Linked DNA regions of Drosophila melanogaster. The protein of the gene in region 2 interacts with the protein of the main gene of each other region in a pairwise test. Each region holds a gene or a part of one and is shown on either strand. Other genes may lie near its edges.

The links.
Region 1: the proteins of yem (region 2) and fau interact in a two-hybrid assay, tested with the Drosophila melanogaster proteins (one large-scale study listed by BioGRID).
Region 3: the proteins of yem (region 2) and org-1 interact in a two-hybrid assay, tested with the Drosophila melanogaster proteins (one large-scale study listed by BioGRID).
Region 4: the proteins of yem (region 2) and CG6497 interact in a two-hybrid assay, tested with the Drosophila melanogaster proteins (one large-scale study listed by BioGRID).

What each region holds. Positions count from the first base shown.
Region 1 is NT_033777.3:10,771,924-10,779,818, reverse strand, and holds fau (fau), read left to right. Parts: upstream 1-2,444; 5' UTR 2,445-2,567; coding exon 2,568-2,642; intron 2,643-4,753; coding exon of another isoform or gene 4,754-5,170; exon of another isoform or gene 5,171-5,800; coding exon 5,801-6,121; 3' UTR 6,122-6,622; downstream 6,623-7,895. Other genes in the region: Desi (desiccate), read right to left, coding at 33-127; CG45078 (uncharacterized protein), read left to right, coding at 2,568-2,642, 4,754-5,170; CG45076 (uncharacterized protein), read left to right, coding at 2,568-2,642, 6,658-6,684, 7,215-7,706, 7,847-7,895. UniProt on the Drosophila melanogaster protein: Plays an important role in the regulation of tissue responsiveness to oxygen deprivation.
Region 2 is NT_033777.3:29,117,830-29,125,842, reverse strand, and holds yem (yemanuclein), read left to right. Parts: upstream 1-2,963; 5' UTR 2,964-3,641; coding exon 3,642-3,881; intron 3,882-3,936; coding exon 3,937-4,158; intron 4,159-4,226; coding exon 4,227-5,046; intron 5,047-5,106; coding exon 5,107-5,254; intron 5,255-5,320; coding exon 5,321-5,560; intron 5,561-5,622; coding exon 5,623-6,961; coding exon of another isoform or gene 6,962-7,258; 3' UTR 7,259-7,513; downstream 7,514-8,013. Other genes in the region: Ctl2 (choline transporter-like 2), read right to left, coding at 1-36, 106-429; Atg14 (Autophagy-related 14), read right to left, coding at 7,730-7,884, 7,947-8,013. UniProt on the Drosophila melanogaster protein: May play a key role in egg organization. May be a transcriptional regulator having a role in chromatin remodeling in concert with Hira, a histone chaperone. Involved in chromosome segregation by affecting kinetochores function in the first meiotic division.
Region 3 is NC_004354.4:8,448,261-8,457,180, reverse strand, and holds the start of org-1 (optomotor-blind-related-gene-1), read left to right. Parts: upstream 1-2,111; 5' UTR 2,112-2,886; coding exon 2,887-3,049; intron 3,050-4,900; coding exon 4,901-5,289; intron 5,290-5,365; coding exon 5,366-5,598; intron 5,599-5,667; coding exon 5,668-5,824; intron 5,825-5,921; coding exon 5,922-6,083; intron 6,084-7,009; coding exon 7,010-7,077; intron 7,078-8,020; coding exon 8,021-8,920. Other genes in the region: CG32713 (uncharacterized protein), read left to right, coding at 1-175.
Region 4 is NT_037436.4:17,251,403-17,256,563, reverse strand, and holds CG6497 (uncharacterized protein), read left to right. Parts: upstream 1-2,626; 5' UTR 2,627-2,740; coding exon 2,741-3,397; 3' UTR 3,398-4,187; downstream 4,188-5,161.

The DNA.
Region 1 (7,895 bases), about 18 Mb from region 2:
GTATCGTATATGGGGTACTAGAATTGACTTACTTATGGCTATCTTCGTATTTGGGGATTGCACTGGCGTAGGTCAGCACAACCAACACTCCCAGCAGCTGCAGTATGACAATGTAATTTCGGTTCATTGTGCTCTTTTAAGAGGGTATCCTTTTGGGTTTCTTTTTTTTTTTTTGTAAATTAGTAATAGTCCTTTGGGGTTTTTGGCTCGTGGCTCCAACGTGTCGTTCGCTCTGCTCCAAACTAATATTTCCAGCAGCAGCAACTCCACTATTTATAGGAGTTGCCTAAAAATGCAAGCAATTTGTTCAAATTACAAAATGTCAAGCAGCGTGCGGATTTGAATGCCGTTTATGCGAGTATTTGGGAAAAAGTGAGGAAAGAAACGCATTCTAGCAAAACGAATGAACAGGTGTTTGTAACCATATAGGCACTTATGTCCCCATACAAGCACAGTAAACAACCCCCCCCCAATGAAAGACCATTCATCGTACTTATGTCGCTGTAATGCGCAATTTTCATTGCATACTCAATTATTTAACAAAATTATCGCAGACACAAAAAAAAAAGTGGCGAAGACGCCAACAAACAACCACGCTGGCTGGGCGGATAAATTGAGCAGCCATGCATCTGAAACCAAAAGTCGTATATCTATGTACTCCAATGGATCAAAATCGCGACTTGGGAACGGAGACACATGGAAGTGTTTGCACCTGCGCCACTTGCATCATTATGAGGGGCATCCGACCAAGAGATTTCTGGTATTAAGTCACTGACATCTTGCCGCTCGTTTTATATCGTATATATATTCAAACGGGCCTAAATATATGGGCTCTTACATTGATATTTATAAGCTAAACGTATATTGCTGAATAAATTTTTGTAAGTTATCGTAATATTAAACATTAAATAAGCATATCAAGAAATATTAATACTAAATTCGTTTGAATAAGGTCTTTTACATTCATATTTTTTAGATGCATAGTTTCAAAAATAATCTCTTAAAGATCTTACAGATCTAAAGATTCAACATCGTCAGGGTCGCCAGACAATGACCTCCATATATCACCTCATATTAAAATAATGAATGAATTATGTCAGACACGAATACTTTTATGGACAATTAGTAAACCTTTTCAAGTTGCAGACCTAAAGTAATACCTCTTTATAGATTTATGAAAATCAACATGTTGCAGAAATGTTGTGCCACCTTTTTCATTTAATCAAAGAAGATTTGTTCGCTATATTGAATCCTTTTCGCCAATTTATTTTCTGCTAATTTTTCAATGTCTATTAACACCTAATTAATACAAAGCAAACACTAAATTCCAAGTCAGTGCTCAATGACATTTTTGTTCGCCGATTAGGCTGACTTCGGCAGCCTTGAAATTACGAATCATTCATTGCCTCTCGTTAAGGTTAATGTCATAAAGAATTTGGTTTTTTTGAATTTCTGCCATGGTTTTGTTTATATACAAGCAAACACCTACACACCCGATTTAAAATGTGGGTATAGGATGATGTGCAGTTTATTTATATGTTCACGAATACATGTTTCCGATCTTATTGTAAGATGGTATGAGTAATCTGGCCTCAAACTGTTGGAAAACAACATTTATTTTTATCTTATTTTCATTTTTGTATTTTCTTAATAATTTATATCCAGCTATTTGTGTGGAAAGCTCTGTGTCCGGTCCACAGGTGATACCCACTGACCATAAATTGCTCTCAGGATTTTAATTTCACGCCTTATTTGTTTCAAAAAATGCCAAGCTCATTCATATCAGTTTTGGCTAATCAATCTTTAAACAACGGTGATGCTTTGAATGCTGATATTTTGAATGATGGGAATACGAATTAAGCTATAAACATTATTAATGTCTACATGTAATCATACTGCTAAATGCCAATTAAATGTAAAAATATTGAAATTACCATAATCAATAATTGCTCATTATATTGAGAAATTCTTGTGGCAGATTTATAAATAAATAATCCGCCGAATGTTTTGATGTTTATCGACCCATATTTAGCCTATGCCAAATATTAGCCTTTCCTCCATCTTCAGATGCCATCATCATCAATTCGAGTCATATCCCATGCTAAATACAGATTCTAATCTTATCTATAAAGTTCTGGAAGAAATCCGTGACGTCTGTTTTCGCAGATAAGGGCTCTATATCCTGGGAGCACTAGACTCGGTACATTTCATGTGTATATAGGCTTTTCCGAACGCAACTGTATGAAAAGTGCTGGCTTTATGTAAACAGAATTCGCTCGCTCTTTTGCGAGGAGAGATGTCAATGTTTCTTAATTCCAAAAATAAGTTCATTTGGGAGATGGATAGAGAAAGAGGTATGGACCGAACGTGCGAGAGAGAGCGGGATCGAAGGCTGTGAAAATTTTGAAAATCAAAAAATTATAAGCAAGTGCTCCGTGCGATTCTCAGGCAGATCAACTCGAACGGGCGTCAAGTGAACAACACGCAACGACGATATATCCGAACCAAAATCCAACGAACAATTCTATTTGAAAACTCTCAAAGCATCCAAATCTAAAAATCTCAACATGGTTTACGAAAGTGGATTTACGACCCGCAGAACCTACTCCTCGAGGCCGGTGACAACTTCCTACGCAGTTACGGTAAGCCCTTCGAAATAGAATCTGAACTTTACTTGACATACGGTAGTGTGGTTTTCCTCGATTTAAATCTGTGAAATATATCTGTGCGTACAGTTGCCAAACTCGAAACTTAAGCAGTTCAAGAATAAACTAACCTGTGATTGCAAAAAACGCTGAGGATAAATTTGACAAATTTGAAAGCAGTTAACTATTTGCTGTTAGCACTTAGCTAATGGCTAATCGAATCTGTAGTCACAAGAATTCAGTTTTAAGCGCTTGTGTCCCACTTGCTGTACTCAATGGTATCATTCTGAGAAGCGAGCAGATTACTTGAGAAATTGAAACACGTTTGAATGTAAAGTGTCTACCAATTATGAATATCGTATCGAACTTACAGTACCTAACTAGCTGGTCTTTCGCAACGGAATGTCCTTGTGCTCAGAGATATTATATTTAATGATCACCTAGACGTTCTGCCCATGTTGTACATATATAGCATTTTCAGGTTCAGTGTAAACATTTGTGTAGTAATTCATACATAAGCCTATTTCTAACAATTTAATAACTCTCACACAATGGTTGTGGTGTACTCGTACTACACTGAATACTACATATGTATATCTGAGTTATGTGCCTGCACAGTCGTCTAACCATAATTAAACCAGACCGAAATAATAAATATGTGACAAAATATTCTGACAAAACGATGCGAGTGTGAAAAGATTGCAATTTTCGCGCGATCGTGGGAATTGAATCTTCAGCAAATTTATTGCTGTGCAATGATCTTCATATCTCTTTCGGATATACGTGTTTACTCACCTCCCAAATATAACACGCTAAATACATTTTGGGAACTAAGAATTTAGCGGAGGCCGAACATTTTCTTCTCTATCTCTATATTTTATTATTATTTACAAAATGCTGAGGTCCGTCTGGTCTGGTGGTCTAATGGTCTGGTGCCCAAAAATGTTTAGAATATATACATATGTATGGGCGAGTGGAATTCCAAACACATGCGAATTCGCGATGAAACTCATACGGAGCCACAGCTCTCTCGATAATTTGTTTTTGTACGGGCCGTGGATTTGCTTTTTGTATGTGTAATACTATATGCGCGCGCATTTCGCTCTTTGCTGGTCCTAAAAATATCTTTCCGATTTCCATAATATATTCAAATAAACCGATGCCATGGCAAGCAACTACAACAAAATAACGCAAAATATTCGAAAATTAGAGGGAACAACATAAGAAAATGCCCATTTTTTCGACTGTCCAATGTGATGATAATCCAAAGCAAGGATATATATGTAGGTACATCGAATCCCCAAGAGATCCATCTTGTCTGGACACTTTCTGTGTGCCATGCATATACATTTTGAAAAGCACTCGCTGTTTATAATTTATAGTGATAACTTGATGATTCGATGAATGAAAACGGCAATCTACTTTGATGTGTATCTATGAAATACGTTTTATTGAGATTTAATTTTTGGTATTTAGGGTTAGAATGTAGGGTAACTGGCTTAATTGATAAATAAACTTGGCTAAATTGCTGTAAATATATATACGTTTGCTGTTTGTGTTCCATCTTAATGCTCCCATTGCACATTACTCACAACCACACTACGTCGTATCAATATGCATATATACATATGTGTATTTAGACTAGGGTGGACCGTTTGGAAAAACAAAATCTAAATTTTCATTACTGCACTTCAATAGAAACCTGTTAAGTAGGCTAGCTTTCTGCAGCCCAACTGTGCAAGCAACGTTGCGTATACGTAATATCTGTTTAAGGCTTGTGCAAACCAAAAGAGATGCAGGTCCACCCTAGGGTTCAGACACATGTGTAGCTATGCATCTTGTGTCATAATGTAAGGATGTTCGATGTTATTGGATACAGCTTGACCCACCCAGCACTGCGATCTGATACCAAACTCAACTACTGCCCCAACGAAGCTGTATATAAATGCCCCGCCCGCGTACTGTATATACTCGTACATATGACTTTGACCCACCGCACCGCCCAGTTGAGATCCCCGTTCGCTGCACCACCTAACCACTGAGCCACAGCTTAATCCCCGGCTGACCCAGAAATTAAAAACAAAATTGTGGACTTTTGGGCATTACAGAGAACGAAGAGAACACCAATTGACTGGGAGAAAGTTCCGTTCGTGCCGCGGCCGTCGCTCATCTCGGATCCGGTGACCGCCTTCGGAGTGCGGCGTCCCGATCTCGAGCGGCGCCAGCGGTCGATCCTCGATCCGATCAATCGGGCCTCCATCAAGCCCGACTACAAGCTGGCCTACGAGCCCATTGAGCCGTATGTCTCCACCCGGGACAAGAACCGGACGCGGATCCTGGGCATGGTGCGCCAGCACATCGACACCGTGGAGGCGGGTGGCAATACCGCCGGCCGCACCTTCCGCGACAGTCTGGACGCCCAGCTGCCGCGACTCCATCGCGCCGTCTCCGAGTCCTTGCCAGTTCGCCGGGAGACCTACCGCAACGAGAGGTCGGGCGCGATGGTCACCAAGTACTCCTACTAGGGGAGCATCATCCTATTCACCCAACCGATAACCCGAACCCAATCGAAGCCTAGTCGAACGAACCTAGTCGTATCTAAGGACACATAACCAACTAAAACAGACAAAAAAAAAACTGAAAATGCATTCAAAATAATGATAGGCCTACATATAGTCTAGCCATAGTCCATATAATCTTGTGTTAACCCACTAAACACTGAACAAGTTTTTACTCTACACAGAGAAAAAGTAGAACTTTTAGACATTCTATCCAGAATACGTTGTAATCGAAATATTTCCATTTTAGCAGTACGCTCTATAGAAATTGTTCAATGAGATTCCAACTACAAACGGTCAGTGCTTTTTTCTCTGTGTACCCATGTATCTAACGTTTCATTCATAGACTCATAGCATTTGTGTGCATAGATGGTTGCATTAAGCTCTTAACTCTAAAGTAAAACAGTTCGAACATGTTTCAATTTCCCCAATTGAGTCGCCTTGCGTTCTTTGGCCATTTGCATACAGCAGTTCGTGGAGCAGCAGGAGCAAGTTTAATCCTTTTATGATGCTTGTGCTGCCAATGCCGAAATAGAAACCAAAACCAAAACCAAACCAAACCTTATCTCTATATCACTATCAAATCGGAATTTATAGACTCCACGCTTAGACCTGTGCACGGACAGACCGGGCTCGCACCGCAGCCGGGCCTCCTCGGACTACTCGTACACCTCGAAGTCGTCCGTGGAGAAGAGCAGCTACGACTCGAGCAACCCGCACTCGTACCGCCCGGAGCGCTCCACGTACACGTCGACTGTGGAGAAGACGTCGCGCAGCGGTCCCGGCGGCTCGTACAACTACAGCACAGAGCGGACCAGCACCACTGGCGCCGGACCCGGTGGCTACAGCTATTCTTCGACCACCAGCGGCAACCTGCCCGGCGGCACCAAGTACCGCCACTTCTCCTACCACGTGTAGGAGACGCACAGCGTCAAAGGATCGGCGTTGGCTGTCCACGGCTTTGAATGTTATGGTGCCCACTAATACGTCATTGTTCTGAATTTATATATATATATAAATATATACATTTTGCAAATAATCCACTTAACCCGCTAACCTTGAGTGCCCATATATATATATATATATTTGTATACGAAGTTTTCAATGATGATGTATTTTCGTTTTGACTTGGACTAATCACCACTAATGCCCAAATAGTTTCGCATATAGACTAGATTAACCGAACAAGATCAACAATTTCTGTGTGTATTTGCAACCTTCAAGAAGTCATGTTAAAACATATTTGTGATACAATAAAATAAACACGGTCTTATCTCAAATGAACGTAGCATTATATTTTCTTGAAATGAACATATATAGAGGTCGATACGATATTCATACTGAAGACACAAATTAGGATAAGGAAATCTAAACCGTTTCTGTCAAGAAATATATGAGAGTTGTCAACTCTTTTGAACCAAAACATGACTTGCTCTATTTTGTATTACTTTCAGTACCCCTCGGTCGAGAAAGTAACTCGTGTAAGTATTTGGTTTTCATCCTTATCGCCTACATCGCTTGTCATCATCCATCTTTCTATGGATTATTACTATTCTTTTCTATTGACTTATATCACACACTGTTCAATCACATCCATCACATCATCGTCACTGGAAAAACAGATTCGGTTAGTAATAAGCCCTCACATCATAGTCTTATTTAGATTAAAGCACTAGAGAATCCATTTAATCAAAATAGAAATTATTCTGGGTAAATCCCACGATCCCACGTTAAATAATCTGAAAGTAGTAAGCATTTTCAAGATGCATTCTTTACTTATTATCATTTCATATATCATCATTTTTGTGATGTAAAATCGACTACTTCCATAATCATAAGGCAGACAAAACTGCCTAAATGGAGAGATCACGAACATATGGTTTACGTTTCTGTTTCTAGTTCTTATATGTTCTTTTTTATTTTCTCTGCTTTCTCATTCCGCTAATCAAATCATAATCACCGAACCTTGCATATTCGATGTTGTCTTAATGTTGAAACCATTGCCATATAGGTGTACAAGTCGAGTTACCCCATCTACTCGAGCTACTCGGTGCCACGCCGCGTCTACGGCGCAACCCGGGTGGTGACCTCGCCCATCCGCGTGGTAACCTCGCCTGCCCGCGTGGTGTCCCGCGTCATACACTCACCATCGCCTGTTCGCGTTGTCCGCACGACGACCCGAGTGATTTCATCGCCGGAGCGCACCACCTACTCCTACACCACGCCATCGACCTACTACAGCCCCTCCTACTTGCCATCGACCTACACTTCGACCTACATCCCGACATCGTACACCACGTACACGCCGTCCTACGCCTACAGCCCGACCACGGTCACCCGGGTGTATGCCCCACGCAGTTCGCTGTCGCCGCTGAGGATCACCCCCTCGCCGGTGAGGGTCATCACCAGCCCGGTTCGCTCTGTGCCCTCCTATCTGAAGAGGCTGCCGCCTGGTTACGGTGCCCGCGCCCTGACCAATTACCTCAATACCGAACCCTTTACCGTAAGTTGGTCCAGCGTACTTAGCACGTTGCTTTCGTAGACACACAGAACCAGGAGTAGTGTTGTTCTGGGCCCTCGCTTCTAGACTTCTTTTCCTTCGATTTGGCCCCCACCCCCTTTAACATTGAATTGATATTACAGACCTTCTCCGAGGAAACAAGCCGGATTCGCAACCGCGCGCAATCTCTGA
Region 2 (8,013 bases):
GACGAACGTCTCTCGGGGACAAGTCTCCACACAAACCTGTTGAAATACGTATTTCATTAAAAGTAAGATCAACTCCTTGCAAATTTGATGTTAATGGTATCTCACCTGTGGAGTGTCACATCCAGTGATGGGTACAAGTGGATCGATGCACTGATTCAAGTCGAAAAAGAATAGGTTTTTCTTGTTCAGCACTCCGGAGTCCATGCCACACTTTCGGTTAAAGGAGTCCGTGGGCACCAGCAGTTTGTTGAGATCGCCGTTCCTGATGGCGTATTGGGCTATGAAGGCCCATCCGCCCAGGAAGAGGACGAATAACAGCAGGCAGGGCACATCCGTGCAGCTGCGATCCCTCTGCCTCGGTCCCGTGAAGTTCCGGTCGTAGCGCAGTGGCTCGCCGTACTTGTTCATCAGCTCCACGCTTTCCGTCATCGCTCTCTACTGAAAGAGTCCAAGAAGAACCGAGTGTTTTATGTATGTATATACATAGAGCCACTATCGATGGGTCGTCGTCTCTAGGTAATGAGATTGTCAGGCGTATATCATGTAATTTATTTCCGTGCATGCGTCATTGTTTTAAAAATGGAAAACCGAATCTGTAGTGGGTGGTCGTGTTGGCGGTGAAGCCAACCACCAGCGGCTCTTTTTGTTCTAGTTTATTTGTTAGTTTGGTTGGGGAAAGTACGATGAGTAAATGAAATTGTCGGCGACAAAGTGCGGTTTGATTATATCAACGACAGGCGGCCAACGATCCCTTTTGGATTGAACCACAATTAAATAATATTTCTTCCTATGTTTATGAATAAGACTGTTTAACCTTTTAATGATCAATGAACCTAGCTCTGTAACAAAGTTTTCTACTGGATAAATGAACTTTAAGAATGGCTTTGGATGGGCTGGTGAATTATCCATAATTATTGCTAATACATTCTCCTACAGCAGACTCATTTAATTAATCATGAAAGCAAATAGAGAGCAGAAATAAATAAAGTATCGCTCATTCGGTTTAAGAGCTCCCCTGATAACGATAGCGATCGCAACTGTACGAACCTCTTGGGGATGCGAAAATCTGCGAAGAGGTAGCAGTAAAGCAGCTCGAGCATGTCGCAAATCGGCAATAATGACGCATTAAAAAGCAAATTAAATTTGTGCGCTCACTTGTTGCTGTTGTTTGATTGTTTATGTGTATCGCTTTATTTTTGTGTGCGGCTTCTGTCCATTTGAGATGAAAAACTGGCTGCCGCCTTTAATAGATGAATTACCAAAAAAACACACAAGTTTTCATAGAAAATGGGAAACCAATTTGGGTTGGCAAGGCATTTGGGGCCACATGTTTCAAGGTCGATTGCCGTAACTCCATTTTGGTGTAGGAATTTCAATGTCTGGGAGTAGAGTTTATCATTCAAGCAGTGCTACGGGCAACACTCTCAGTAGCTAACCTTTTTTTCTTGCAAAGAAACTTGTAGACATGATAAGAAAACGGGTGTTCGTTTTGATATCTAACCCATTTGCATAATTTGTAGTGTAGAAAACTGGTTTAAACCTAAGTTGTCCTTGCATCGAGTGTTTACTGTGTTCACCTTGGACTACGTCACTTGAGATAAAAGAAAGCAGTCGCAGTTCTGATCTTATCTTATAATGGTAGTCTCTTGTTTCCCATATGAACGATTTCCCCTTGTTGTTTTTTGGAACTACAAATGTACAAGGCCCCGTAATTTCGTAATGAAGCAGTATTACTCACCTTTGCTTCGGAGCCGAACGATTCTTCCAGAGATGTAACAAAGGAGCTCCACTCTTCTCGTCGCTTTTCCTTTCTTTCTTAAAGTTCCTTTATTGTCTCATGACACTTTTTTACGAGCGGCTGGGGGCTTTTTGTTTAGCTGGTTTCCTGGGACGGAGTCACTACTCCGGCGAAAGTCACCGGACCACTGAAAGCGGGAAGCCTTTGTCGGAGCTCCGTATCCCGTACGTTGCTCTTTGGACGTCGGTCACTTGCATTCGTTGGATAAATATGTACATACATACATAAAAGAGCTCGAGTGGGGCTGCAAGCATAAAGGCAGCATAAGTGTTTATGTGCTAGTGTTTGTGTGGTGCCACTTGGGGATTGGGGGTGGGGGAGTTGGGGATTGGGTTGGATTGGATTGTGAAAAGAGCAGCACGGCACACTTTTGTTAATTGCACAATCCTAATCGTTTTCACCCGATAACGAGCACTGGCCATTCCCGTTATAATAACACCTTGCAGTTTCGACCGAATTCGAATTTCTGTGCATGCAACTCTTTTCGTTTCGCTTGTTTTTGTTGTGGAGCGGGCGCATGAAATTAAGCCCCCAAGCTCACGTACTGCGACTCACTTGCACTTGCGCTAATTAAACGGCGAGCACTTGACTTTCTACGAAGTAAACTCCTTCACAATCGAAATAATACTGAATCGCCCCAAGAAAATCTGCCCACCACCCGCGGCCCCATACTCTGAACAGCTGTGCCGAACAGTGCTGCACAACGGCCCGTTCTGGTCAAAACAAAGCAGAAATGTGTGTGGAATGTGGCACTGCACAGGGATGCACAAAAGCTAGTGCGAGTGTTGGCCGCTTTCAAGCCAGATCTCGTTACTTGTTGGAAAGTTTTAGAGCCGCGTAAGTTATAAAAAAGTTTACATTATATTTTGATTTTGGGTCCTTTTTAAACAATTAAGCTTACAACAGCATAAGCCACCTATATATTTTACGTAACCTATCAACTTGGTAGCTCGAAACTTTACTTTAAAAATGAGCTAGATGCCAAGCTAATGAATTTCTAACTAACGGAATTTTGGAAATACATAGCACCCATAACAACTAAATATTGCCAAATGCAGCCAGCCGCAGCAAGTCTCGGCTTGTGCTGCGCGCAGTGTGAACGGCTCGGAGTAATTTGCGAAAACCGCGACCAGTGCTGCGCAACGCGAGTGCGAAAGCCAAAAGCAGGGTCGGATCTTTGGTGCGGGGTGGAGCGGAGAGAATGTAGCGTTGAGGATTTTAACAAGAAACAATTTAAGAATCGCGCTCCTGGCCGTGCGAAAAGCGCCTGGTCGAATCGTTTAAATGTCCCCTTTGGTAGCGTCGATTGCGTGTGTTTAATCCCCGGTGCGCTGCTTTTACAGACTGTGTTGTTTTCGTGCCGGCAAGCCAACCAATTTGAAACCCCCCAAAAAGTTTCCACTTTTTCATTCCCCCAGAAAAGTGACAATTATTCGTGGCCGTGGTCGGCGGATGCAGCTGCAAAGCGGGCGGCGATTAAAGTAGTGCAATCCGGCGCAGGTCCTCGCCATTTGTTTATGTTGATAAAGCAGTGTTTGTGGGGCGACAACAAGAAAGTGCAGCTCAGAGTGAAATTGCCACGGTTATTAAGTGGTTGTGGTTGCTTGGTGTACGTGCAGAAAACCTAAAACAGACATCCCCAGAAGAAGAGGAAGCAGCGGAAAAGGAGGAGGAGGAGCATCAGCAGCAGCGACGTCTCTGTTGTTTTTGTTTGGCTGCGAGAGAGAGAGAGGGAAAGAGCAACGAAGAACACGCGGCTCTTTCGAAAAAAAAGGGCGGGAAGGCCCTTTCGGCTCAAAGGAAACCCTATCCCACTGAATATCCGTAACTCTGCCCGCCGGAAATGTCAAAGGGGGGCGAGCACAAGCGCGTCACCCTCACCTCGATCATCCAGGGCGATGCGGGCTTCTCGCGCTTCGGCAGCAACATCCTGGAGCCTGATGCTGCGTCCGCTGCACCCGACAACAGCTCCAAACCCACGACAAAGACTGCCAAGTGCATCCGCATCAAACTCGATCTGTTCGAGACCGATTCGAACAAGTATCCCGAGTTTAACTACTCCCGGCTTTTGTATTTGGAAAAGGTAAGAGTGTATAACTCAGTTGGAGGATCGCTTTCTAAACCCTTGCAATCCGTAGAAAAAGACCAAAAAGCTGAAGCAGGTGAGCACTACCAATGGCTCCGCAAGCACTGATCCCTTTGCCGACAACGATGACGATGTGGCACGGATCGTCAAGGAGCTGGAGGCCAAGTATGGCAACTCCTATGCCACAGGCAGGGGGAAGAGCAAAAAGGACGACTACCGGGACATTGGAATGGGCTACGATGAGTCGGACTCATTCATCGACAACACGGAAGCCGTAAGAACAAGAAATATTTCCGACGAATGCACTGAAATTATTTACCTTAAACTCTATGTTCTGTCCAGTACGACGAAATCATACCGGAGGAGGCGGAAACTCTGGAGGGCGGCTTCTACATCAACTGTGGCGCACTGGAGTTCAAGAACCTCACCAAGAAGTCCTACACCACTCGAACAGATGCCATCATCAAAATGCCAGAGCGATCACGCAAGCGCATGGTCTCGTCCAGCTCGGAAAGCTCATCGTCATCCTCGGGCGATGATGACGAAAACGATGATGGCAACAATGAGGAGGACGACGAGAGCGATTCCGAGGACGACTCCGAGGAGAACGATGAAAGCGACTCCGAAGACGACTCCGAGAGTGAAAGTCTTGAGGACGAGGACTCTGCTGCTACAGCCAAATCCAGCAGCAAGTACAAAGACAATCATCAAGCTAAGCGGGCCAAGGTCATCGTTACGGGCAAGTCCAAACCAAGCTCAAGTTCTTTGACGAGTGGCAAGAAGCCGCCGACTAAGCCGATCACCACTTCCTCATCCTCAAACTCGCCACGACCCAGCACGGTGGAGATTTCGGACACGGAAGACGGCCAAGACCCTATCCAGACTCAGCCATCAAGTCAGCTTCAGTCCCTGCCGCAGAGTCAGGCCCAGGCGCAAGCTTTAAAGAAGGTGGTTAAGACCACAACGGTCAAGGACATGCTAAAGGCCAAGCGAGACAGCTTCCTGAAGTCGCAGAGCGGCACGGCAGCTGTCAAGGGCGTCGGCAACGGCGAGCTGAAGTGTGTTTCCACCGACGTGTCCAGCAGCGATAGCAGCGATATGGAGTCTGAGCACGGCCGGGCAGATAGGCAGGCCGGTCAGCATGGCAAGGATGGGCAGGAAAGTGAGTTACATATACAGTATTAGTTGGTTGAAATCACCCTTTCACGTGTTCATTTTTAAGATCTTCGCACCGCCGACACTCTGCTCCCCACCACATTGGATGCGGACATTGTGACCGCAGTCAACAGCTTCAAAGAAGCGGTGAAGAGTCGAGACATGTGCGGCAAGAAGTTTAATCTGGATGTGAAGCTTTCGCCACTACTGCTTCGGTGAGTTTGCAGCCGATGTAAACATCAAGTACAGATTTAAGGCTTATATCCATTAACCTACACCAGGGTGTACGAGGCGGTGCTGTGCACGGACCGCAACGAGCGCAACATGGTCTTCTCCCACATCGAGTATCAGCTGCAACTGCCCAAGTACTACATGCTGCGCAAAGGGAAACAAGTGCGGGCGAAGGAGGAGAAGAGGAAGTCCACCATTATGCTGGAGAAGCTGCGGCGGGCTGTAGCTGTGGTCATGCCTAAGGCGGTGGCCAACTATGAGACGGAACTGCGCACATTTGCTGAACAGGCGTAAGATTGTTGTTAAGCGAAATAACGATTAGGTTCCTTTAGATTATGATTATTATTTTCAGAGCTGCGGACGTGAACTCCGAACTGCCGCCCAAAATGCCGCGTAAGAAGTTCCAGTGGACCAGCGAGCTACGCCATCTGCTGTACGATGTGTACCAAGCGCGTTGGACGTCCTACGCTTTCCTAGCCAAGCGCAAGGAATCGTTGGAGGAGTTCATCAATTGGTATCTCAAGGAAAAGGTGGTGGAACTGTGGCCGCCAGGCTGGATGCGTTTGGATGAGTTGCAAAGGGAAATAACACGCTACAAGAACGCCAAGCTGAAAGCAAAGGAGAAGCCAAAGGCACCGCCGGCGTCCGCATCGCCCAAGCCCGTTGGAGTTGTATCTGCTCCTGAGCAAATGCCGCCGGCAAGCAGCTACCTAAAGGCAGTGGAGGACCCTCGATCTCGAGGTAACTCCGATACGGACTCAGCTACAAGTGCCTCCTCCAACAGTCTGAAGCGAAAGCTGAAGGAGATGCCCAAGCAGACCAGCAAGCCGCCAAAGAAAAAGGTGGCTAAGCAGGTACCGCTGCAACCGCAACTTACTCCGCATCCGCAATTCCAGCTGGCGCCGGCTGCCACGGCGGCCGTCAGTATACCAGCCATTAGCAATAACAACAACCACCTGCCCCACCTGGACACGCTGCTCTCCATGCCGAGCACCTCGGCTCAGGCAGCAGCACTCAATGCCGCCGCCGTAGCAGCCGCCAGTACGGTTCTGGATCTGGCATCCCCTAGCCGGAAAATTGACCTTAACACCAGCAACAATTTCTACAATCTGATCACGGCCGCCTCCCTGGCAGCCAGCGGGAATCCCAGTCCGCATTCTGGAGACGGCCAAGCCAAGGTGATTGTGGGAGCTCGGCCCTCTCCCCATGTGATCAACCTGGATGACTATCAATGCACCAGCGATATACTTCAGACGTCCAAGCAGCTAGCTGCCACCACCACTGTCATCACCGCCATCTCAAAGGCCGCGCAAACGACGTCGGTAGCCAGGGAAAGCAGCAGCGAGTCGGATGGCGTTGAGATTGTGGGAGTTTTTCCTGCCTCTAAGCCCCAAAAGAAAGTCCAGTCTAAGCCCAAGAACAAGACTCAGAACAGAGGTCGGTCGTCTTTGGGTGCGGTGGGGCAGGTAAATGGATCCCTGGGCTACAGCGCGAATAACATGTATATCTACAATAGCCCAAGAACGCTGGGTCCAGTGTACGATCTCACCGATCCGCATATAATGAAAACTATGTCAAATCTGAAGGAAATGGAAAAGCAATTCATTCAAGCGGCTTTCTCGCCGAACAGCGTCAAGGGCGCAAGCGGAGGAATGGGATCCTCAGCGCCCAGTACGCCCACGCGCCAATGACATTCGGGATCGGCCGCACAGCAGCCCCTTCCGGCTGCTGTGACGGCCTTTTACAACCAGGAGGCGATGGCCGCCGCCATCGTGCTCTCCACGATGAGCCACGCCTCGCCGCGCTACGACCTGCTGGCCAACGGCTCCGTCTCCATGTCCGCCGCCCAGGTGGGAGCCTCTGCCAACACACTGCCACAAGTATTCGTTAAACCCAGCCTGCCGCAGCCCAGCGCTGGCGGCGATGTGGTGACCACGACTGGAGCTGCTCGCCCATCCACGCAACAACTGCCCACAAAGTTCATTTAGCTAGGGTCACTCAGCTCGTTCCCTTGCGATTCTAATCTAAGATTCTAGTGCTGATTCTAGGTAGGTTTCATTCGCAGCTGTGTCTGCCGATTTTCCAATTATTGCACCAGTTTAATTATTGTTTCTCATTGAGTCGTTTACCTACTAAGTCAGTGTACTATGCAAGCATTAATAAAGCAAATTTATATATATTTATTTATAGAGAACCATTTTTATTAAATAAAGGCGAATAAGTTATGTAATAGAAATAAATCCAAAAGGCGCATTTTCTTTACACACAGCGAATATATATGTATATATATAATTGATACAAAATTAGTTCTGTAAACCAAAGGATAACGCTAAAACCAGCAACTGCCGATAAACACCGACGTGCTGTCACAGAAACGATTACTTAGTCTAATTTGTAAAAGATAACACGCGTGTCTCATGATGATATAGCCGAAAGATCGGACGTCTGTTGGTCTGCGATCATTTGATCCAGCGCAGCACCGATGTGGCCGCCATTCGCACGAAGGCGATGGTAGACTGCTGGTTGGCCGCCGGCATCAGATTGGGATCCGCCAGCTCCGGCTGCGGTGTCAGGCTGGGCACCGCCTCCCAGTCCATGCGCAGAGAGTTTTCGTCTGGAAAGGCATCAGCATCAGTTTGAAAAGATTATTCCCCTCAAATTGCTAAACCAACTCACCCTCTGACTCCGATTCCGTGGCGGTCTCGATGCCGATTAGTAGGGAGTCCACTGACTTCATGAGTGG
Region 3 (8,920 bases), on a different chromosome or scaffold from region 2:
AAACTTCAACGCAGGTGACGATGATGATGCACTGGAGGCCCAGGACATGACTGGACACGATTTGTCCTCAATTCAAACCGATGATTTATCGCTCAAAGGCCAGACGGAACCGGAGCTGGATTGCTCCATTGGATCTCATGGATTCTCTGGATCTCAAGAAGAAGGCCACGAATAACGACAATGAGAAGTAGACTGTTGTAAATTATCTTAAATTAAAAATATTTAGTCGTCATTTAATTTCGAAATTCCTTTAAGCCAAACGCTTCGATTTGGAATCTAAATTTACGATACAATAATAAACCTTTAGTCGATTTCGTCCATGATGGAAATTTTACAACAAATGCATTACACTCATTTATATATAATATTTATATAATCGATAAAAAAGATCGAATATCGAATTTATGAATCATTTAAGTAATTTCTTCGAAGCAGTTAGCATTTCATTTCCAATTGTTTACACTCAAACAAATAATTAACGACTAAAATGGCATGGCCAATGCCATAACAATTTTTCAAATTTATGTATTATTTATGGACTGCATGGTACGATCTGCTGCGATCGAAATGCTTCTGAAAATGCCAAAAAAAAGGGGAAAAAAAATTAACTCAAAATAATTGTAAACAGTAGTGCGGCAAACGAAAATCAGGGAAAAACATTAACAAGCAGTTGTTCCATAAATCCAGGACGCAACTGGATGCGTAGATTTATATGGAAGGGGTGAGTAGGAGGGAGGGTAAACAAATCGATTCACTTGGAGACCCCGTGTGCCAGGTAACATATACTACTACATGCTATATATAATAGATATACCATCTATATGTATACATATGTATGTACCCACTAATTGGAATGGCCGTGGCTGATGAAAAGCAGACGCACCCGGTTAATCGGGCTGTTTCACTTTGATCGGTCCAGTTTTCTCGGCTTCCCCGGATCTCCATCTCCGCTGGGCCCACATTCCGGGCTCCAATGGCCAACAGACGCCATTTTCGACCGCCCATCTCACTCCCTCTTGTGGCGGAGGTGGTGGCCGCCGCTACACTGAGCGCAAATGTTGCTCACAGCTAATTCAAATTTCGTATGAAAAATTAGCAGTAATCCTTTTTTTTATGTATTAAGTATTAATTCATATTCTCTTCGTATTTCTTATGTTTAATGCAATTTTTTCCAAAAACTTATGATTATTCCAAATGAATTGAATTTTTTGGGTGCGCCTTGCCAACGTCTTAATATTCCGTTTTCCTTTTTACGGTTTATTTAGTGTCGAGGTTATGGCGCAATTTGTATTTATGGCCAACAGCAGCAGCAACATCTCGGCTGCACTGCAGCATTGAGCGGAGCACCGCGAGATCCACGAGCAACCAGCACCACCATGCGTGCGGCAGTCCAATTAAAAGCGTTTTCCAAATGAGGCCCATGACTCTGGTCGGCCACCCACTCCACGGGCCACGCCCACTGATCAGCGCGCCCCCCTGAAAAAAAAGAGAATGAAGAAAACAATATGCAAAAGTGGGGATCACCTGCTCCTCCTCCTTCTTGATCTTCTCCACCGCCTGCTGTTTATGGTCAAAGACCACGCCCCTTCAAAAAAAAAAAAAAAAACAAGAGAGAAGTAAACAGTGGAGCAGAAATTAGTGAAACGTGTGGAGAGTACAGTGATCTATATACTCTAAAGGATACCTCTATACTATTTACATGCATTAAGTTATTAATATGATCAAATTAGATTACATAAATATAACTATGTTAAGCATAGTTTGCATAAAACCAAACAAAGAGTTGCAGATAGCAAACCCCAAGTGTTCACCAAGTTCTAGGCCTCACTGTAGCCACATCTGGTAAATGCCTTGCGCGCACCCTACGCTCAATTCTGCGCGGCATATTCATCCACTTGATACTAGGCTAGATCCCAGGCGAGCCAACACATGTCGGTGCGATCCAAGGAGGAGTAGAAGGAGGAGAAGGAGAAGGAGGAGGAGGAGGAGATGGAGGAGGAGGAGGTGGCCGTGCGGCCATTGGTGGATCGATTGGTGCGGCTGGCGAGTCTAAATTTGGATGCTGCGGCCGGCGATTGGCGGATAGATTTCTCGATTTGGGGAGATGGTCCGTACAATGCGGCATCTTGGGATCTCGAGAGGCAGCGATGCATCTGCCCAGCAGCAGCAGCAGCAGCAGCCGCAGCAGTAGTTGTTCTCATTCGGCGGACCAGCGCTTGACGGAACGGATGTGTGCGTGATCAGAGATCTAGGCATCCAGAGATCGCATTCGAAATCAGATCAGATCGATATATCCGCGAGATATAAACATAGGATACTATACGGGATAATCAGTTCGCACTTGGCCGGAAGAAGGTGGCAATTGAGACAACTCAACGCTTTCTGCCAGTCGAATTAGAAAGAAAACAAATAAAAGAAGTTCAAGTCAATCAATCAGCTAACACAGGGAATTAAAAACAAAAAACAAAAAAACAAAAAACAAAAAACTACAATCGGGCAAATTTTCGCCAGTCAACGCGATCGGGCCATAAAAACAATTCGAAGAGAATTAATTTGATTTTTCATTCGATTCTTGAACTCGATCTCGATTCTGATTGACAACAGCGAAAGGTTGGCGTTGGATTTTCGCACCACTACATACTTTTTTTTTGCAGTGCACAGTGAGTGAGTGAGTGAGTGAATGAGTGAGTGATTGTGTGTGGGTGCAATAATCAAATTTGACAACTGCGCGAATAACGTTCGAGATCAAAACAAATTGTGCCGGAATAAATGGAATAAATGGGCCAAGAACTCGCTGCGATTTCCTTTCTTCCACTGTGAGCATCACATATCCAGCCATCATATATATATATCATATATATATATATTCCAACGATCACGCTCGCCATGACGCACCTGATGGGCCCCACTGAGTGCGCCGGCGCCATGATGACCACCACATCCATGCAGTTCCTGGACACCAGCCTAACGGACTACAACTGCTATGGCAACGACTACTGGACATCGCCGTACATGACCGGCGGACTCAGTCCCATGAAGCAGATCGAAGGTGAGTCGTTTGAGTTGACTTAAGCTGGAGAGGATTAGGCAACTCTACCGCGGAGTATTTTAAATCGGATATTAAGATATTAGGTTGTGTACCTTTAAAAGTCGCAAACAAGCATACAAGTAGATTTTTAATATGTTATAACTTTTGCATGAACTTTTACTTTTGTTTAGACTTTTAAGTCCTGTAAAGTATATTTTTTTTTTACTATCTGTTTCAAAACTTAAACTAGAAAATAGGCTTTTAGTTTATATTAGCATACTACTAGTTAAACATATTTTTCCAAGATTTTATTAGCTTTACCTTTCAGTTCAATCGAATGTACAACTAAAACTTCTTAAATTCAAATATATGCTTTAAATATTTATCAAAGAAGTATCGCGTAGCAAACAAAAGGCGAAGCAACAAAAAAGTCATATTTTCCATTTGACTATTCGATATTATGTTTTTTGTTCAAAAATCAGGCAATGGAATTTTGCTAGCAAACAAATGTATATATTCCATATCATTTGTCTGCCTGCAAGTGACCCAAAAAACTGAAATGGAATCCGTTTGCGATAGAGTAATTAGCAAAATACACCGAGCATGGCAGCGGCGGCACAAATGACATCCAAAAGTTTAAAAAAAAAAAAACTGAGAAACTGAGAAACTGAAAACCAGAGAATCGGAAAACCAAAAGATCAGAAAACCAGAAAACCCGATCAATTAGCTCAGAATTCCCGGATCCCCGAGATTTCAAGTGGCATTTCTCTCGTGTTTGTTGTTGTTTGATGTTGTGCATGTGACAGAAAAACGATTTGTTGTGCCAAACGTTAATTGATTTTAGAATTCATTCGTGCAGCAAAAAATGCTAAAAAAAAAAAATCGAGGAAAATGGGCAACTATTTAGCGCTAAAGCGGCTAAATGACCTGTCATGGGTCATTCGCGGCATTGATTGCCATTGCGGCAATTCCCGCAACTGCGAGCCCAGTGACAATTAATTGCTGAAAATCTCATCTCATCCCATGCAATCCCATACCATACCATACCATACCATTTTACAGGCATCCCCCGAAAAGGGGAGATCCTAAATTTAGAGCATGCAACTCAATCAGCAGCCGCCGCTACTCAGACGCCTCTTTTATAATTGGACATGTTGTCCCATTTGCCCCAAACTCGCAACTCGAAACGTACAAAAAACAAAAAAAACAAAAAAAAAGAAGTCGGTGTGTGGATATATCATCAAGTGATATTATTACAAGACTCCTTTAATCAGAATTCAGAACTGTGAACTGCGAGCTCCAGAAGTGAGAAATCTGCGCCGGCGTGGCGTCTACGTGCTTTCTGCCCCACTTTCTCATTTAAATCGCATAAATCACATTGAGTATGAAATTAGCAAATCCCAGCAGCTATATACATGCATATATATTTTATATATATAAAACCCATTCACTTGCTATAGAATTTATACGCGCTACGTGTTTGATTTATAGTCGCATATTTTCCGCCCATTTGTCAGTGGGATATGAAAAAATACAGGGGCTTGAATTGAGATATCTTCATTATTAATTAGTTTATAAAGGGATAAGGATAGTTTATAGGGATATCCAAACTATAGTTTTCTTTAAAGTAAATCGAGTTTTGTATAGATTTTTTACATATTTTACATAGCCACATGGATTACTTGATCATTCTTCACTTTTAATGAGCAGCATTTTATGTTACATTACTTTTACTACTTAACCGCCACTTTAACCGCGACTTTAACCCGCACTTTAACCACCACTTTAACCAGCACTTTAACCACAACTTTAACCCACACCTTAACCTCCACTTTAACCCGCACTGTAACACCAACTTGTGCTTCACTGCAGCCTGCATCCAAACGGCTGGCAAGGATCGCAGCTCGTACAAGCCGCTGGAGCAGATCGATGCCAAATTGGCGGACATCGAGACGCACAGTACAGGCAGCACTGGCACCGCGAACAGCAACAGCAGCACCAGCAGCATCTCGAATCCCAGTTGCCCGGATCAGTCGTCGTCGTCGTCATCGTCGTCCGTATCGCTGCCAACCGATTATGCCGGCGTACACAGTGAAGCCTCGATGGCACCAACAGCCGGCGGCACGGCAGTCACAACGACATCAGCTGGCGGAGTCAGTGCATCCACCGCGTCCAAAAAGTTCAAGGGACAGCACAAAAAAGACAACAACAGTGCGGAGAACGGTACAGTGAAGCCCAATAGCCATAATATCAGCAAAGGTGTAAGTAAATTCAACGATGGGAAACGAAATAAATAATAGATCATTTAAAATATATGATTTCCAATTGATAATTAAGGAATCGGAGCCAGTGCATCCATCGCTGGCCCAGGCCATTGTGGTGCTGGAGACGAAGGCGCTGTGGGATCAGTTCCATGCCCAGGGCACCGAAATGATCATCACCAAGACGGGCCGACGCATGTTTCCCACGTTTCAGGTGAGGATCGGTGGTTTGGATCCACATGCCACCTACATTTGCATGATGGACTTTGTGCCCATGGATGACAAACGCTATCGCTACGCCTTTCACAAGTAAGTTAATGTTAAAAAGCCATGGCCACATGGAATTCGATGAAAATGATGCACTTCAATTTGCAACAGCTCCTGCTGGGTGGTGGCTGGCAAGGCGGATCCCATTTCCCCGCCCAGGATTCATGTGCATCCCGACTCGCCAGCCGTCGGCTCCAATTGGATGAAGCAGATCGTGTCCTTTGACAAATTGAAGCTCACCAATAACCAGCTGGACGAAAATGGACATGTACGTTTCATTACTTATATAGATAGATAGATAGATATATAGATAGTTAGATAGATAGATAAATAGGTATATTCAAATCCTGCCTCTTCATCTCCAGATCATTCTGAACTCCATGCATCGCTACCAGCCGCGTTTCCATCTGGTTTATCTGCCACCGAAGAACGCCTCCTTGGATGAGAACGAGCACTCCAGCCACTTTCGCACTTTCATCTTTCCGGAAACGAGCTTTACGGCCGTAACTGCCTACCAGAATCAGCGGGTGAGCATGATATATATATGATATATATATTGTTAATATATGATATATATTGTTAATCGAAATATGCTGGTTGCTATTTGTAAACATTTACCATAATGATTTATATGTATTATCAATAAGTTCATCTTGGCATTCGAAGCGGCCAAAAAGGCCGCGACCATTTTGTGCCATTTTGGCCTTATTGTTTATGTTTTTCCCATAATTTATAACAAACGGCGGCCAAAGCTAGCACAATTTCAACCATAGCGAATATATATATGTATATATAACAGCAATTGGAAATGCGAGCACAGACCATGCAGATACTCTAACCCGAAAAAAAAAATATTAAAAATAAAAAAGTAGCATACACAAATACACAAGATTTTAGAAACCACGTTTCCAATGCACTGTGGCTTTCATTCGAAAAATGGGGAAGATAAGATTATCAGGTGGGATTGATATCAGGTGGGTGCATTGATATTAGTAATGAACAGTGAACAGCATATCTAATCGCAAGTTGAAAGAACTCTCGACATACATATGTACATTGTATACCCTCGGTTTTCCACATTTTTTTGTCTTGGTTGTGATTCATAATGATGGCCAGGGGGAGGGGGAGGGGGGAGGGAATTTTGTGGGTGGCTAAAAATATAACCATAGACATCGTTGGGGCAAGTATTTAAATTATTTATGTGGGGGTGTTAACACTTTTTCCACCCGCCCTCGAATTTATCGCAAATCATTTTTACCCCGCCGCCAGCGGAATGCCACATATGCCACATAAACATATTTTCTTTTATTATTTTTTTTTTTTTTTAATTTTTTTTTCACTAATTTGTTGGGTATTTAATTTATTTGTTTGGCCCGCCAGCTTGTCGGCATGCCTCAAGCGCTTTTCCAGTCGAATAAAAATATTTTCCACCAATTTTCCGGCCGTCTTGCAGGTGACACAGCTGAAGATCTCCAGCAATCCATTCGCCAAAGGCTTTCGGGATGATGGCACCAACGATGTGTAAGTAGTTCCAAATCTTTTTGTTATTTTAATTTTTTTTTATTTTTACCTATTAACTATGAAAGCTGAAATCAGCTTGCAACTATATTTTAATGCGATTTCATTTGTCTGCGAAAATGTGGCAAAGTAATTTGATTGTCTAGCATTGTGTTAAAAAAAAAAAAAACATGTGCTTAAAATTAGTTCTAGATTTTTGACACGAGCATTTCAAAATGCTGAATGAATAAATTTCAAAATATATATAATAATAATAGTACACAATTTTCGAACGTCTAGAAGTAGTATAAATGTAAATATGTAATAATAATAACAAATGATAAACAAATTGACCCACTTTTCAAAACTTGAAATACACAAATGTCCAAAGTGGAGCTAGACATTCGGTCGACATTCGGCATAGATATTCCCGGAAAATATTGAAAAACTTCAAATAACGCAACAATAACTCAAAAACAAAAGAACTTCAAAATGCCGAGAATGTGAAGCTGGAATGGAAATGGAAATGGGAATGGTTTAGGGAATGGGAATGGGAATGGGAATGGGACTACTGATGATGATGGTGATGGGTGGACTGACAGATGTGCCGGGCGGCATAAACAATTTATTCGAAGGGCTTTTCATATTTGTCGAACTTGCCAGGCCGCGACTTGGTAGCATAGTGTAAACAAATTCCCCAATTTTGTTTACGATCGTGGTGCTTAGGCAACTTGTTTATTACGAGGAAATACTTCAAATAATTTTCATTTCTTTTCTCCGAGTGTTTGGCTTATGGCTTTCGGCCTGGTTATGTTACAAATCATAACACTAATATTTATAATATTGCACGTTTTTACACTTGGCCAACTGAGCAGCATTCGCTGTAGATTTAAGCTGTAAATGTTGCTTCATGTTAGTTATATATTGTATATATATTTTTATAAATTGCCATTGTTTGACATTATAGAACCACTGGCGGTGGCAGCAGCATGTCCTCCATGAGTCACGAAAGTCAGGCGCGCATGAAGCAGCAACAGCAGCAGCAGCAGCAGCAGCAGCAGCAACTGCAGCAGCAACAGCAACAGCAGCAGCAACTCAAGGAGCGAACGGCAGCAACCAGCAACTTTGGCCTGAGTTGCAGCGAACTGGCCATTGAGCAACAGCAGCAGCAGCAACAGCAACAGGGAGTTCTGCAGCTACCGGCCACGCCCTCCAGCAGCTCCACCTCCGGCAATTCACCCGACTTGCTGGGCTACCAGATGGAGCAGCAACTGCAACAGCAACACCAACAGCAGCAGCAACAGCAACACCAGTCCCAGCAGCAACATCTCCACCAGCAACACCAGGCTAACCAGCAACAATCGCTGCTCCAACAGAGCCAGAATCACACGCAATATGGCAGCTATCATCATGCGTACCAGGCACAGGTGCAGTCGCATCCCCTAACGCCGCACTCCAGCAGCTCCGCATCCCCGCCAGCAACTGCTGCGCCGGGCGCAAGTGCAGCAACAGCAGCAGTAGCGGGAGGAGCAGGAGCAGCAGGAGCAGGCGGAGCAACGTCAGCCACACAAGTGATGAGTGCGGCCAATATCTATTCGAGCATTGGACAACCCTATGCCCAGGAGCAGAGCAACTTTGGTGCGATCTACCATCATAATGCTGCTGCCGCAGCGGCCGCTCACTATCATCATGGTCATGCCCACGGCCACGCCCATAGCCATGCGCACGCCCACGCCCACGGACCATATGCCAGCGCCTACGACAAGCTGAAGGTGTCGCGTCATGCGGCAGCTGCCGCCTATGGCATGGGCGCCACCTATCCAAGTTTTTACGGTTCGGCTGCACATCACCAGATGATGCGACCGAA
Region 4 (5,161 bases), on a different chromosome or scaffold from region 2:
CTTTCGATCCCGCCAACGAACTGACTTTTCAACTCCGGCTGAAAATGCTACTGCTCCTTTTACCATATCCCATTTCCCTTTCCATTTCCCTATGCCCACTGTCAAGTGGACAAGCGTCGATGGGAGTTCCTGTGGCCAAAAAAAAGTGGCTAAAAACTGCCTGCTGCAAAATATTGTGCAATGCGCTGCCAAATAACAAAACAAAATCAAAGTTACCAGAAACTAGTGATGCCAACGGGCAGCATATATATGTGTTTGTGAATCCAGGAAATGAATAAAATGATAAAAGTTCATAATTGAAATAATTCCAAATTATTATAACATGTTACTGTCTTCTTATTAAATATACATACAACTGTATTTAAGCTAACTTATTATTTCCTGGAGAGAGAACTTGGCTTAATAGCCCTTCATACCCCCGAGTTTCCCTTTTCGGCTGAGATCGGGTGTAAACAGCAACAGCGAAAAACCCTTAACGGCAAATGTCGAACCTCGACCCTCGACTGTCGAACGTTGGATGTTGGTAGCTGGTAGCTGGTCGCTGGTAGTTGGTAGTTGGTGGCTGGAAGTTGCTGGTTTGGGCCTGCTTTTCGACGGGCCCAAATGCGTTTGTCTGTCGCTGTGTCTGCCGTGCCTGTTTTATTTTACTTTTGCATATTTTTTGGCGTGTTTCAACTATACTGCGGCGCTGTCTCTACATTTTTCAAGTTGTCTGCGTTTGACGTGCACGGATGGGCGCTCCACTGCGTCGGCGGCGGGCGAAATGGTGGCTGGCAAAGGGGGTGGCAAGGACGGCGGCGGTTGGCGTAGTTACAGTTTTGCCCATCGAATGGTTTTCCCCGCGCTCCTTGGTGCGGTTGTGGTTCGTTGCTTGGTTATCGCCAGTGCCACTACTCACACAGCCGAAGACCACTGCCTGCACCACTACGAGTGCAGCGGCAACTGCAGATGCACTCGGAAAAATCGGATAGAGCTTCCGTTGATTGATGCGTATTGAAGCAAAGTAGAATGTTTTTTTCGGTCTTGAGACCCTAAGTTATGGTCTTGAAAGAGACAATTTCCAATCAGCTTGTATCTACCTAAGGCAACTATGAAGTAAATAAAAATATATTCTAAATATACCTCATTTCTTTTAATAAAAAAAAATTAACATAATTAATTAATTAACAAAAATTAATGAAATATATAATAACACAATTTATAAGGCACACCAAATTTAATGTTTTCTTTTCGTGCCTTTAATTTGAGTTTTACTTATGAAATGTAGTTGAAAGAGTGCATTATGTGCCTATAATTTGTATAAAAGGTGAAAGCTATGAAAATATCTCACTGTCAAATATTAATTGTTTTAATAAGAAAGCACTCGATTTTTGCAAGTGCGAACCTAGCAGAAGCAGCAACAACTACTTGGGTGCTGTCGGTGAGCCTGTTTTTTAGTGCCTTCCGTAACCATTAAATTTTACGTTTTTATTAGCGCGCACACACACACATACACAGACACAGACACACTTACGCGGAGGAAGGAGGAGGAAGAGGCCGAGAGTTGGCAGATAGGCCGTCCCCACCCACTGAACTCTACCGCCCACTACCGCCCACTCCGCCAACCATTTTTGAATATTTCCGTTTTGGCTGGCAGTTTTCGGTTTTCGGCTTGTCTACAAAATGCAGTTTTGCATGCACTTTGGCCTCGGCGCAAAAAGTCAACCGAAAAGAGACAATAATAAGTGCAGAGCACAAAAGGACGAACCCGAAAAAAGGGAAAGAGCAGCATAAAACGTCGAAAAAGTAGAGCCAAGAACATGAAAACGGAAAATTGCATTGCGCTCAGAAGTATGCTATGCTTTTTTCGCTTGCCTTATCAACGTCTCAAATCGGTTAGGGTTGATAGGAAAAGCGGAGGGGCGCAAGCGGGTTACTGGCAAAACTTAGTCCAGATAGCGAAATGTTGTCGCCCAACAGGACCTGGACGTATTTTACGTATTTTAGTTGCCTGCAGCACACGCAAAAAAAAATGAAGAATACAATGCAACCCAAAGACTTTAAGACAGTTCGAGTTGCAGTCGTGGGCGGTTCCATGCGAGTTGTGGCCACTGAAATTGGTTGCATGTTTCAGGGGAACAGACCTTTACCACATGAGTGCTGTTCAAAACTGCTCAAACCTTTACAGACAACACCAATAAAGCTCAATCCCTTCAGGCCAAACAAGTTCGACCCAGCCTCGTCGAGCTCGCAACTTGTTTGGCATCCACAACATTTGGTTGCAGGGTGAACGGGCTAAAAAAAAACTCTTATACTTTTGAGTAAAACTCAATTTCAATCCAATTCAATAGCTCATTCAAATCAGAGCAATTTAAAGACCATAATAATACTGCAGAATTAATAGTTTCATTTTTGAATAGAAATAAAGAGATAATCAGAGAACGAGAGATATAGAGATTATAAATGTTCATATGGCCAATTCAATGCGTGAGTTTGTTTTATATTTATTAAAAAAATTACAAAATATTAAGAACTTAACCTAATCAAGTATAATCACAGACAAATGCCACATAAGAGGCTTGTTAAAATCGTCTTTCATTTTGCATTACTCCGAACTAAGTAGACTAATTGTATGGATCAACCTTTCGGAACATAAGTACCAAAATTAACCGAAACGAAAATTCAAACCCAGTCGGACTCATCCCCTACCAGCCAGGAACCATACACCGAAAAAAGAAGGAACCAAAGGACACAGGACATAATGGAGCTGTGGCAGAAGCTACGAGTGCAGTTTAATGACTTCTTCCACGCGAACTACCCGTACATAGCGCTCTACAGCGGACTGGGCGTGGCAGTAACAGCCTACTTGCACTACCAATGGAGCGTGCACCACTACGACCTCATGTACTGGAAGCGTTTGGCGGAGGTCTTCTCGCAGGACATCGACTGCATCCAGCTGGCTATACTGCTCTTGATCTTCGCGATCAACGCCATTTTCGTATTCATCATCCTGAGCGTCTATCTGCGCCCAGCCCTCGACAATGGCAGTGAGATGTCCTTGCTGGAGATCAAGGATCGCTATGCCCGGTTCATACTGCTCCGCCTGATAGCCCGTCTCGATCGCATACAGTCGAAGATCTCAGCGAAGCGTAAGAGCCTCACCTTCCAGCACTATGTGAGGGCACACACGAACATGGTAAAGGCGGTGGCCGTGTTCCGCAAGGATGCACGCAAGCTAATCCTGCCGAATGAGAGCGAGATCCTGATGCCCATCGAGGACATCTACGGGGTGGCTGATGACGAAGAACGACTGCTTCGGCGATCGGGCTACTACAAGCTGATCATCGACACCACCGACGAGACGGTCAAGTCTCTGTTCAACGCCAAGCTGGAGGAGATCCTGTTCCCAACCAGCTAGACGACTCGGCGGTTCCGATTGAAACTTTGAGTAAACTGCAGTCCAACACTAATTGCCTTTATCTACTCTGCCAGAGCCGCAGCTCCGAGGGCCCCTTCTTAAAGCCGTTTTATTGTTTCAATTGTTTGGCTTGGCAGCTTTTTATGGCCGCATTGTGCGCCGGGCCAACAATAACAGGCCAGTCGGAGACTGTCAGCCGTCCCCAACCCCCAATAACAATAATGGCAAAAGAAACAGCAGCAGAAACAGCAGCAGAAACAGAAGCAGAAGCAGTTGCAGAACCAGACCAGAACTAGAAACAAAACTCCAACGAGGAACAGAGACTAAACTAAAATGCCAGCCCATGTCTGCACAGCTCAAAACAATATCTAATGTTGTCTACGGCAAAATATTTTGCAAAGCGTCTTTTTGTTTTGCCCGATTTCTGTGTCCTTCAGGCCTTTGTGTGTCGACTTTTCTTTAAAATTAGCTAAAAGGTTGTGTAAATTTAACTGAAAGTGGGATAGCAGTGAAAGAAAAGCGTTGCAGGGGATAAAGGATTCTTGGAATGCATCGTGGGTACGAAAAGCAACAAGGGCGACTAGGAAATATAAATAAATTTTCTTATGGGATGATATCTAACTAAATTACATTTTCGGATGGCATGAAGTGGACTAGAGTCCGCAGTCATTAGTGATTTAATCTAGAAAAAGAGGGGAAGAACCTTTTAGGAGGAGCGTCAAATTAGCATCAATAAAATTGGGCAATAATAAATTAAATTCATAAATTCAAACACTCAACAAAATTATATAATTGACTTTTTTGGTTTGTGGTCGTACGTGCGGGCATGACAACAATCTGAAATAAAGATGCATAAATTGTTAATCTGTTTAACAGTATCTTAAGTAGTTGTAGTTCTTGATCTAATAGTACCCGATATCTCGTCGTTCATACGGACAGTCAAACGGACAGTCAAGCGGACATTGTCAGTGATTCTGACTTTATAGTGTTACATACTTTACAACTAATCTACAAGATCTAAATGTTCGAATTTTTATGTCAGTTAAAAAAAGCGTCGAGACCTATTAATTTGTAAACGAAATTGTTAATTATCTTTTTGATTGTAATACGTTATTGTACAGATTGTTGTCGTGCCATTCAAGTCTCGCAGTTAACCATTTAAAATTCACATCCTTTCATTTGCTTCAACTCGATTTCCGCAGCTGCTGCTGTTGCTCACAAAATACAACTCATATCCTTGCCAATGACTTCAAAGCAGCGCATGCTTCGCTGCGCGCCAAAAAGTAGACAACAAAAGCCTTGATAATGAAAAGCGGAAAAAACACGCACTTTTAACTTCACTTTTGGCAGCTAATGCGCGAATGGCCAAAAAGTGACAGCCTAATTTCGGTTAATGTGGCGTGTCCTTTGCTTTTGGCCATAAATCCGCACAGCACGTGTGTGGCAAACTGCATTACTTCATTCGCAGTGCGCACTTCTTTTTCCCCATTTTTCGTTTTTTTTTTTTTTTTGCTCTTCCTTTTTTAATGATGGCCACGGGTGGGCGGCTCACCTCCCGGCGAAAAAGACATTAAGTAGATTATGGTCTGATTGCATATTTGCGGATATGCGCGCCATAAACACGTTCAGACGTGCTGCAACCGCAACAACGGCGAATGGTGGAAAACACGGCAGCGCAACAGCCGAAAGCCAACGCGAAAAAAGTCGCCTGCCTGGCTGTAACAAAACAAAAATCCAAAGAAAAAAAAACAAAAAAAAACAAAA